Drosophila melanogaster: one gene and its partner. The protein of the gene in region 2 purifies or fractionates together with the protein of the main gene of each other region. This does not show direct contact. Each region holds a gene or a part of one and is shown on either strand. Other genes may lie near its edges.

Region 1 (3,997 bases), 2.1 Mb from region 2:
GCCTGCTCCTTGTCGAAAGCGATCCCAATCATGCAGGAAGCGAGATCCGCACACAGCACTATCTTTCCGTACTCGTTGATCTGCAGAGGGACATTCGTGGAGCGCAGTTCCAGGAGGCGTACTAGTTCGGTGGTTTTCCTGAAAGGATTCGATCTTACTGGGTAAACCTTTAAAACTATTTATTTATCGCTTACTCTAGCACGTTTGGCTCCTCCCTTAGGCCCATTTTCGTAATTAACTGTTCTATTAAGGTAGTCATTGTAGTTATTAACAATAGACTGAAATTCCAGTCGTGCGTCGTTAAAACCAAAATAAAGTACAACAAATGGCGCGAAATGCATCAGCTGTGAGCGATAAGGTTTTTCTTTGTAGCAATCGAGGTTTAATAGCTGCAGGCACATTCAAAAGGAACCAGATCCGATAACCAGCGAGCCAATATATTTATATCGAACGATAACTATTAAAGAATGAGAGTATAAAAATATAAAAACCTTAAATTTCACCCGATTTTGTTTATTCATTTTGCGCTTTAGGGAAATATAAAATTAACATTATGTATGAGGCCCAGAATTAGATTCACTGGCACACAAACGAACTAGTGCGTCTCATTGTCGCTGTCTTCGTCCTTGTTGGCCGCATCGCCGGCTTTCCTCGCCTTCTCCGTCAGTTCTGAGGGATTTATGAGATGTAGGCCACCGGTTACCCTGCCCACCAAACCCATTTCGAAGCGGAAGTCCTTGTCCTTCAACTCGTCATGGACTTTGTAGATGCTAAGACATAGGATAGATATGTTAATTATGAATAAAAACCTAGATTCTAAGTGCAATAGATGTCCCAAAAATGCTTCCTATTGTCAGAGCAAGTAAGTTTCCACTCGGAACTAGGATAAAGCCCGCCCGATTTTTGAAACAGTCCCTTTTTTTTGCTGTAAACGTACATTTCACCAGCGCTCTCCACCAATTCGTCGGTCCTCATATCCATCTTGAGCTTCTCCATCTCAGTCTTGGCCAGCTGCTTGGCCTTGCCGCTGGCGCAGGCGAAGTAACCGAAGGAGGAGCCGGACGGCTCGATCTTGTAGAGCTGTGGCCCCTCTACTTCGTCCCAGGAGGCGAGAATGATGGAAAGTCCGAAGGGGCGGACGGCACTGTACAGAGTGTAGGCGTGAACGTAGCCGGCGACTCGGTGGCACAGGTGTTTAAGCGGGATAGCCTGCTCAAATTGCTGTCTGTAGTTGGCTGCCTCCTGACGCGCAATGTCAGCCACAAAGTTTCCATCGGCCACCAAGCCGGCCACCGCCATTCCGATGTTCTTTTCGATGGTGAAGATGCGTCCGCCGGCGTCTGGTTCGTACAGTTTACTGGTGATGATCTTCTCCACGGCCAGCACCACGGCGTCCTTGCCCCGAATCCCGATTACGGTGCCGCTCTTCTCCACCGCCTTTGAGGCGTAGTCGATCTGGAAAACGCGGCCATCAGGCGAAAACTGCGAGGCCGACAAGTCGTACTGGAAGCGAGAGGGTGACGTTAGGGATCTGCAGATATGTAGTTCGCTGACCACTTACTCCAGTGCCAATAGTACTCATAGCGAAGACTTTGTGAAAATTTAAACAATTCAAACGCAAAAATTAGTTTAATTCCTTGGGTCGAATGCGACGATGATTTGACGGCTTTTACTTGGCTAGTGGTGGACAAAACAAAGGGGCCTATCGGTCAAGGAGGTTCGATAGTTTCGGAACGACTATCGTCAATAAAAACCAATCGTATACCAATCGCGATTTTTTCAGATAAAATTCGAATGATTAAAAATAAATCACCAATTCATGGTACTTTATTTATTTAGCACAGTTGAAGTTAATATCATTCTTTTCTTTTCTACTTATACATTTCGAATATCCCCTTACATGCTCTGTAAAGTAACATTTCGAACTAGTTCCGTTCATGTTCTGATCCGCGGCGCACGCGGTTTTTGTATTTATAAACAACGAAAATCATGCTGGCGGGTATCAGCGAGAAAAGGTAACATAAACTTAATAATTACCTGATGATTGCAAGACTACAACAATTTTAAAATCCAGCTATGCGGCGGAGGCCCGCTACACGAACTTCTACGCCGGCGGCGACATCGCCTGGAGCCCGAATGGCCATCATCTTTACTGCCTCAATGGCTCAGCTGTAAACCAGGTGGATGTGCAGACCTCCCAAATCCTAAATAGCTACGGCTTGTCTTCCCCGTCGGCGGATAACAAGAGGCCGGCGGAGCTGGACAATATCGATGTGGAGGAGGATACGATTACTTGCTTCGGGCTGTCACAGGAGCATCTGGTTACTGCCCATCGAAGTGGCCTGCTTAGGCTGTGGCAGCTGGACACTGGGAAGCTGGTGAAGCTGTGGAAGGCGCAGCACAAGGGACCAGTCATCCGAGTTGAGTTTAGTCCCTGCGGCAGGCTTATCTGCACCAGCGGCGGTGCAGATGCCACACTGAGGCTGTGGGACTACTCGAACAACAGCTGTCTGGGTGCCCTCAAGGATTTCCCTGGTCCCGCTTGGCTCCTCGTCTTTCATCCCAATGTGCTGCGCAAAGAGATCTACGCCGGAGGTTCGGATAACACTGTCTATGCCTGGAACTACGAGACGAAGACACTTGTGCACAAGATGCGAGGTCACCTGTCGCAAGTCACCGGCTTGAGCTTTAAGAGCAACGCGTCCGACTGCAATGAAATCGTGACTGTAAGCCGGGACAAGGTTATGATCGTGTGGCAATTGCAGGAGCAGTTGGAAAGCAAGCAGTTGAAGGTTCTTCCCTTGTACGATGAGCTTGAGGGAGTCGTGTACGCAGACGAGGGACAACTGATAATCGTGGCGAGCGGATCGGGCAAGCTGCAACAGGTCGACCCTAAATCTTGGAAGATCAGGGATATTCTTTCTCAATCTGATTTCCAAATTAGTAGACTGCTGCACTGCAGCGAGCTAAAACAGCTGGCCCTGGTCACTACAGAGCAGAATATTTTGGTCTACGACGTTGAAACCCTGGAACCCATTAAACACTTGGTGGGTTACAACGACGAGATCCTAGACATGTGCTTTATGGGCGAACACGATCGCTACCTGGCCGTTGCCACCAACAGCAAGCACTTCAAGCTGTACGACACGGAACACGACATGAATTGCAAGCTGATCGTGGGTCACTCGGATACGGTAATGTCCCTTGCTGCATCCCAAAATCTGCTGATTTCGGTGGGAAAGGACTGCAGCGTTCGGCTTTGGAGGCTTCAGCACGACAAAGATTGCTCGCTTGAGGCTCTGACTCAACAGGCCAACTGCCACACGTCCACTATCGGTTGCGTGGCCATGACGCACAACGGAGCTACTGGCTTTGCATCCGTGAGCCAAGATGGCAGCATGAAGGTATGGCAGCTCGTCAGAAGTAAGGAGGATCGCAACTCGTACTCTTTCAACCTGCGCTACGCAGCGCTTTCCCACGACAAGGAGGTGAACTGCGTTGCATATGCTCCGAATAACAAGCTTATTGCTACCGCGTCGCAAGACAAGACGGCTAAGGTGTGGCTGGCGGAGTCCAACACGCTGCAAGGAGTGTTGCGGGGACACACCCGCGGTGTGTGGAGTGTGCGCTTCTCTCCGGTGGATCAGATCGTGCTCACCTCATCGTCGGACTGTACTCTCCGCATCTGGTCCATCAGCAATTTTTCGTGCATAAAACGTTTCGATCAGGAGTGCACCATACTGAGAGCCGAGTTCCTGGATCACGGCAAGTTCATTATCTCCGCTGCTTCGGATGGCCTTCTTAAGCTGTGGAATATCAAGACCAACACATGTCTGCAGTCCCTGGACGAGCACAACGATAGGGTTTGGGCGCTGGCCGTATCCGCCAGGAGCAATCGGTTCTTTTACACCGGCGGCGCGGACTCCAAGCTGATTCGCTTCGGTGATGTCACTCAGGTGACGCGAAACGAAGCGCTGGACAAGCGGCAGGCCGCATT
Region 2 (6,473 bases):
CGTGTTGGGGAAGGTGAGACGCACCAAAGTTGGAACCTTAGGCGCTGGTTGTGGTGCTGGAGTAATCATGAGAGTTTGACCGCCATTGGCATTGGGCGGAAGTCCTTGCAGCGGTGGAGGCGCTGGATTGGCGTTTCCAACTCGCACTTGCGGAGCCCGCTGCTGTTGGTTCGTCTGCGGGTTATAGATACCCATGTTAGAACCGTACGTGCTGATATGCAGTGAAGGTCTATTAGTCGTAATTGGAGCTCGAGGTCGGATAACCACACCCGGACCCACTTGAGGAACGACCAAAGCAGGCGGTGTTGGTGGTGTTGGTACTGTTGATGCCGGCTGAATTGTCTGTGGTACCTGACGTTTTACCTGAATTAGTCTACCATTGGGCAGGCGATAGGAATCCTGTTGTGCAGCGCTATTTAAATCTACTTTGAACCCATTGATTGTGTGAAAGACTGGCCCAGTGGTTTTTACAGAGTTGGGAACCACAGTACGACGTACCACACCAGAGACCCCACCAGGGGCATTCTGGCGGTAGCGGATTCCAGATCCACTGAGAACCAAGGGAGGTGGCAGGCTACTACGTGTCGGTGGCACTGATGAAGAACCACTTACGCTTCCGTTGCTGCCGCTGTTGCTGGAACTTTGTCCCGGTTGGTAGTTCTGTTGGACGGTGACAATCCTCGGAGTGGTGATATTTGCCGCTGTCACCGTCTGACGTCCAGTAGGCTTGGGCGTCACAGAGAGCTGGCAATCCGGCTCCAGCATGCTGAGCAGATCCGGTGTGCAGACCACTTCGTTGTTGGAAGCTTTAGCGCGCTTGGATGGTGGTCCCGGAGGAATGGTTTTTGGCATGGATCCCCGTTTACTCGAGCCCGCTGAGCTGCCCTGGCTGCGTTTGGAGACATTGGACTCCAAGCTTTCCATCGAGTCGGATAAGCTGCTGGTTTTCGACTTCGCCAAGCGACAGCAATTGCTGTTATCCTTAAGCATTTGACGTCGGGCCTCCACCTCGGGAAGCTGAAGGGTTTGTAGGGCCCTGCATTACATTAAATAAGAAAAGTCAATTTAGAAAGAGATTAATCACTATGATAAGTGAATGAATGAAAAGACTTAAAGATGCCATAAGCATAGACAAGTAGGACTAAAAACCGCACCTTTTCTGCGTCTGAAGATAGTTGACCAGCGCCCAGTGTTGGGCTCGTAGTGGCCACAGGATCTTGGAGGTGCAGCTGAAGCAGTTCCAGTTCTCGTTTTGCTCGATGTCCACGATGACGCCCTTGGAGAGGTTCTTCACGATGCACGACTTGCAGAAGACGTAGGGGCAAGTGGAGCAGCAGTATACCTCGCCGCCCTGTCCGCACCAGCGGCAGTACAGCTCAGAGCCATCCTCGCCCTTGGAGAACTCGCCGCTGTTGTAAAAATCGTGGCACTTGACGCAGTGCGTCACCCGCAGTATGGGATGCATCTTGATGTTGCTCTCGGCGGCGGGTGCTGTGCCCAGGTGAAGCTTGCACACGGTGCAGTGCACCTTTCGCTGGTTCACCAGATCTACGTTGGGGTACATCTTCAGGTAGAAGCGGCGCTCCTCGTCTGAAAGCGAGGGGTGCATCTCGAACTTGGAGCCTGCGTTGCGGGTATATGCAATTTATATGCAATTTTCCACTTGGCTGATGCCCAGTACTCACTCGTGAAATCCGCATCCAATTTGGCCAGTGGCGATGGCGACGGCGTCGCTACCTTTGCCAGGCCACTTTCGCTACCCGGAGCACTGTTACTCATGACTTCTGTTCCGTATCCGGGCCTCTTGGACTAGAGCACTGCGATCCGCACCAATTTTTGTTCTAAAACGCGAAAAATTCACGATTTTCTGCTGCCGCCGCAGAAAAAAGCGGCGCGCTTATCACTTTTATGTTTGGCAACACAATAACAACAGGGCTGCAAGGGACGCGTGTTTACAATTATTTATTAGTTGGGCAAACCGGGAAAAAATATTATTGGGAGATCCTGTACTGAATGCTTCGCAGCAAGTCTCCTCGAAAATGTGTCAGATTTTTTCACCCGAGAAAGACAGCTGAATATTCCGCATCAAATTCAATATGGCTGCCCCTTCGGGTTCCAGCCGAAGTAGGCTCTACGAAGTCTATATAACAAGTTCGGACCGATACTCTAAAATTTTCTTAGGAAAACATGGCTAAAATTTTGATCAAAAAGAATATTTCTTTTTTTTTGGCATCAGAGGATCATTAAATTAGCTATAATATCACTCTAATATCACAACATTTATTGTAAATTTTTTTTAATCATTTCTATCGTTTTAAAGGCTGATAAATATATTTTATATTTTAAAGAATGTTTTCGTATTCGTTAGTCTTTGCAAGCCTTGGCAACCCTAAACTTACTAGTCATCTCTTTTACACTCATCGTCCGTCCATAAGAATCCGAACGCGTTAAGAAAGAGACAGCATATATGTGTTATTTACGAAAAACAAGAATTTTTTAAACAAATCAATATTCCAAATTGCTTTATATTTTTAACGTTTTAATTTCTCCCGCATAAGAAATATTTGAGATATCTAAAGCATTTGGCGAACTGGTTCCAGGCAATCGATATATGTGAGACCGTATAAACATATCGAGTTAACAGAATTAGTAAATCATGACTTCACATAAAATCATTAAAACAAGTTTTCAGAACGCAACAACTGATCTTCAGACAACTTTTAAAAATAAATCAAGTAAGATTTTGGAAACATAAATTCCACAATGTCAAAATATCAGTAAAAATAACTTAAAGTAACTCGAATAACTTGAACGAGGAAATCTTAATGAATAGTTGATCAAAATAATCAGTCAGAAATAGGGAATTTTATAATTGTACACATATTAGTAAGTCGTAAGGTTTCGTATTATGAACATGTAGATGTTGTACTAAGCATTTCCTATTACTATTTTAAATATATAAATATATAAATAGACATTTATATATAAGAATTTCTTTATTACAAAGTCAATTGATAGTCGCTCATCGTTTCTATGTTACAATTACTGTTTACTTTTCTTGACTTCTTCAAAATATTTAAAATATGAACATATGGATCACATTAGAAATTTAATAAATCTTTTATGTCTGGTATTTACGATATAAGCAAATTTATAACTAGCCCGAAGCAAATTCTGAATCCTTTGAAATACCTTGACAATTATGTTGCTAGTATTAAGTTAATGTTTTTATTATTTATTTATATATTTTTATTAATGTTTGTTCTACTCTCACAAAATTTTGTATATTAAAAGATTTAATATATGAAATCTGTATCGATAACTATATCGATAAATCACATTGAGATATTAGAAAATTGAAAAAGGCAATAAATTTTTTCCAGTTTTAATAAATAGTGATGGGAAACTATCGATAGTTGCGCCATTCGATATTTTCGATGTTTGGAGAGCAAATTTTCGATATAACTTTAAAATAATAAAAATATTAGCAATTTTAAATGTTTTTCTCAAATAGGTATAGTTACCTTCCAATATTCTAGAGGATCTGTATTTTCCTCTGAGTACTTCGGATTAAAAAGCATTACAAAATTTTTCAATGTCCTACGAGATGGAAGCTTATATCGCGTATCAAATGCTTTCAGTATATCGCGAAATCCATTGTCCTCCACTACTGAAAATGTGCGCATATCAGTGGCTATGTACATACTTCATGATAACTCGCCGAGTTCTGCTATCCGACGAGAACTCGAGTCGTAGCTTGGAGTCACACATTAAAACTTTTCCACATTGTGAATATTTCGCGGTCTTACCATCAGTTGATTTAACAAAAATGAACAGCACTATCGATAGCGACAAAAAACCATCGATAGTGGCTCAGAAAAGTAAATATCCGATACCTCGATAATATCGATTATCCCAGCACTAGTTCTATTTTCACAAAGATGCAGCAATATTAACAAAGTCATTTATAATTTATTATTATTTAAACAATATAGATCCTTTTAAAAAACATTGAGCTAAGGTACGTCCAAAAGATTTAAAATAAAAATTGAGAATGTGGTGGTAACTTGCTAAAAACAACTTCTCGCTCTTTCCTCATTATTTTGTTTACAAAACTTTTAAAGCAAAGGTTGTCTTGGAAATTTATTCAGTATTTATACTTTCTGTAGTGGGCTTCAGATATTGAAACTGACGTCGCTCCAAGCAAACGAAATGTAAACATATTTATATATACTAAGCATAAATTAGAACGTTCCATTCGTTCTGTTTACTCCCACCCAGATTTTGTAAAGGATTATCGGTGGCCGCAATGGAAAGTGGGTCGACTGCCAAGACGGGCGATTTCTTTTACGGTTGGGATCTGCTGTACAAGACCGTTAAGGCTGATGTCTCCAAGAAGTCAGACCTTTTGATTGCCCTCGTCCATTTTCTTTTGACCAAGCATTACAACTTCCGATGCGTTGGCGTTGGCGATGATGTGAGTATGATTATGGCCACGCATATTAGTGAAATCATCTGGAATTCCATAGAAAACCTTGCCGGAGGAGGAGGGCAGTGAGCTGCTGCCGGACAGCTGGAATGATGACGATACCAAGTACTCGCTGCGCTACGTGCACGATAAGATGCTGTATTTGCTGCTGGGCCACATCACCGAGGGCTCCCTGCTGATCAACCTGTTGGACATCAACACTAAGAAGGTATCCAACATCTGCGTAGAACCAGAGACCCTGGTACCTGAGGTCAAGGGAGGCATCACCACCATAATGCCGAGTGCCTCAGAGATTGTTGAACGCTACCGTAGGGAGCTTCTAGACCCTGTATTCACGGGAAACTCGCGCGAAGTTACCACGCAGACGACCAACTCACCACGCCCCATTGGATCGGATCCAGATCCCTTGCGCATCGGCGAGCCAAGGCGTGGCGGGTAAGAACACTTGTGGATAGTTTTTTATACACTCGTTAATCGTTTCCCCTCGTTTAGATCCTTCATTCCAAGTGCATTCGAGCCTCGCCCTTTTGGATTTCCGGACGTTGGACGCGGGGATCTCGATCCACTGGGTCGCGGTGGTCATGGTAACCTGTTCAGCTTTCCATCACGCCCAAATATGGGCCCGGGACCCGTGCCCCGCTTCGACCCGTTCAATCCCCTGAACCCGAATAGGCCGGGACAGGGTGGAATCAATCCAGATCATATGCGCCCACCAGATTGGAATCCCGATTACTACATGTAATTACCAGGAATGCCATGTATAGTGAGCAATTCAAATCTTTAGTTTAAAGCAATGAAAAAAGTTTTCATTTTAGAAGACCAAAATTAAACGGATTGTTTTAAAAGATTATTTTTATTACGTTGCATACACAATACAGAATATTACAGAATTTTACAGATATAAAATAAAAAACAGCAGCCTGTTAGACAACGCTTGTTTGAGTTTTTACTAGAAAAATTCGTAGTTAAGAACATTTATCAAGTAAATACGCAAACAGGCCAGTTGAGTTGACGGCTGCTCAAGAGAAATTTACAATATACTTAAAAGCTTAACTGAACTCGTGATGTAATGGCTATTCATTCATTTCGTACAACAGGGTAAACAAAATTGGCTCAAGTGCGTAATCTCAAAATTGCTAGGGGAAAAGCGCGAAAAATCACGGCACTAAATGTTACAATGGTTTGCGATTACTCTTGTTTTTTTTGTTGCTGCTTATGCCTAGCCTAATATTATTTTACCATAATATTTTGCTAAATTAATATAATGTAAATAATATTTCAAGCTGTGTGCAGCCGGTTGACTTAAATTAGCTCTGCACGGTAGGCGTCGTTCCCTCTCACGCCGGGATGTGCAAGTGTTGTGGTGTGTTTTGTGCCTTGGCCGCTCAAAATCCGGCTAAAATCCCGCCCAGGTGCGGTGTGAACTACGCTCAGTCCCATTCCCCGATGAACATGCGTGGCGTGGGCACGTAGCCGCGCGTTGGCAGCGGTAAATGGCGTCCGTAGATGTGATTGTAGGGTGATTCAACAAGCTCCGAATCTACAAGAAGCACAGAAATCCGTGGTTAAAAATCGGGTGCGTGTACAATTGTCGGGATAATTATGTGTGCTGGGGTGGGTGGATTCTATTGGTAGACCCAAGCGGGTACTTGGTTGTAATCTGGTGAAGGTATTATCTGTTTAATTGCATTATCTCTTTTTTGGGATATAATGTAATGTAAGTGTATTATTCCACAGATTACAACCCACTCGTTTGAACTTTGGACTACCTCTAAAATCAGTAACCCACTCCCACTTGGTGTATGTACATTTGCGTTTCGTGACTGTCCAGGCTAGAGGAGTCCAAGGTGCTATGTTAGTAAAAGTATCGTACAGTTTAGTGGTTCTGTTCACCGGGCAAGGAGGTAACCGAGATGCGTTTGTGGGTATAATATAGCATATATGTATGTACAGCCACCCATCATCCGCTCCAAGGGGATAGGGC

The links.
Region 1: the proteins of PI31 (region 2) and Prosalpha7 purify together in Drosophila melanogaster (affinity purification with western blotting; 2 studies listed by BioGRID, with this or other methods). This does not show direct contact.

The regions. Positions count from the first base shown.
Region 1 is NT_033778.4:9,846,136-9,850,132, forward strand, and holds Prosalpha7 (proteasome alpha7 subunit), read right to left. Parts: upstream 1,702-3,997; 5' UTR 1,583-1,701; coding exon 1,562-1,582; intron 1,504-1,561; coding exon 938-1,503; intron 771-937; coding exon 596-770; 3' UTR 501-595; downstream 1-500. Other genes in the region: Orc6 (origin recognition complex subunit 6), read right to left, coding at 1-138, 195-259; CG1671 (uncharacterized protein), read left to right, coding at 1,990-2,015, 2,075-3,997. UniProt on the Drosophila melanogaster protein: The proteasome is a multicatalytic proteinase complex which is characterized by its ability to cleave peptides with Arg, Phe, Tyr, Leu, and Glu adjacent to the leaving group at neutral or slightly basic pH.
Region 2 is NT_033778.4:11,966,288-11,972,760, reverse strand, and holds PI31 (proteasome inhibitor 31 kDa), read left to right. Parts: upstream 1-2,645; 5' UTR 2,646-2,735; intron 2,736-3,910; exon of another isoform or gene 3,911-4,021; intron 4,022-4,106; exon of another isoform or gene 4,107-4,281; 5' UTR 4,282-4,309; coding exon 4,310-4,477; intron 4,478-4,529; coding exon 4,530-4,924; intron 4,925-4,981; coding exon 4,982-5,231; 3' UTR 5,232-5,418; downstream 5,419-6,473. Other genes in the region: ADD1 (ADD domain-containing protein 1), read right to left, coding at 1-1,036, 1,155-1,623, 1,686-1,779.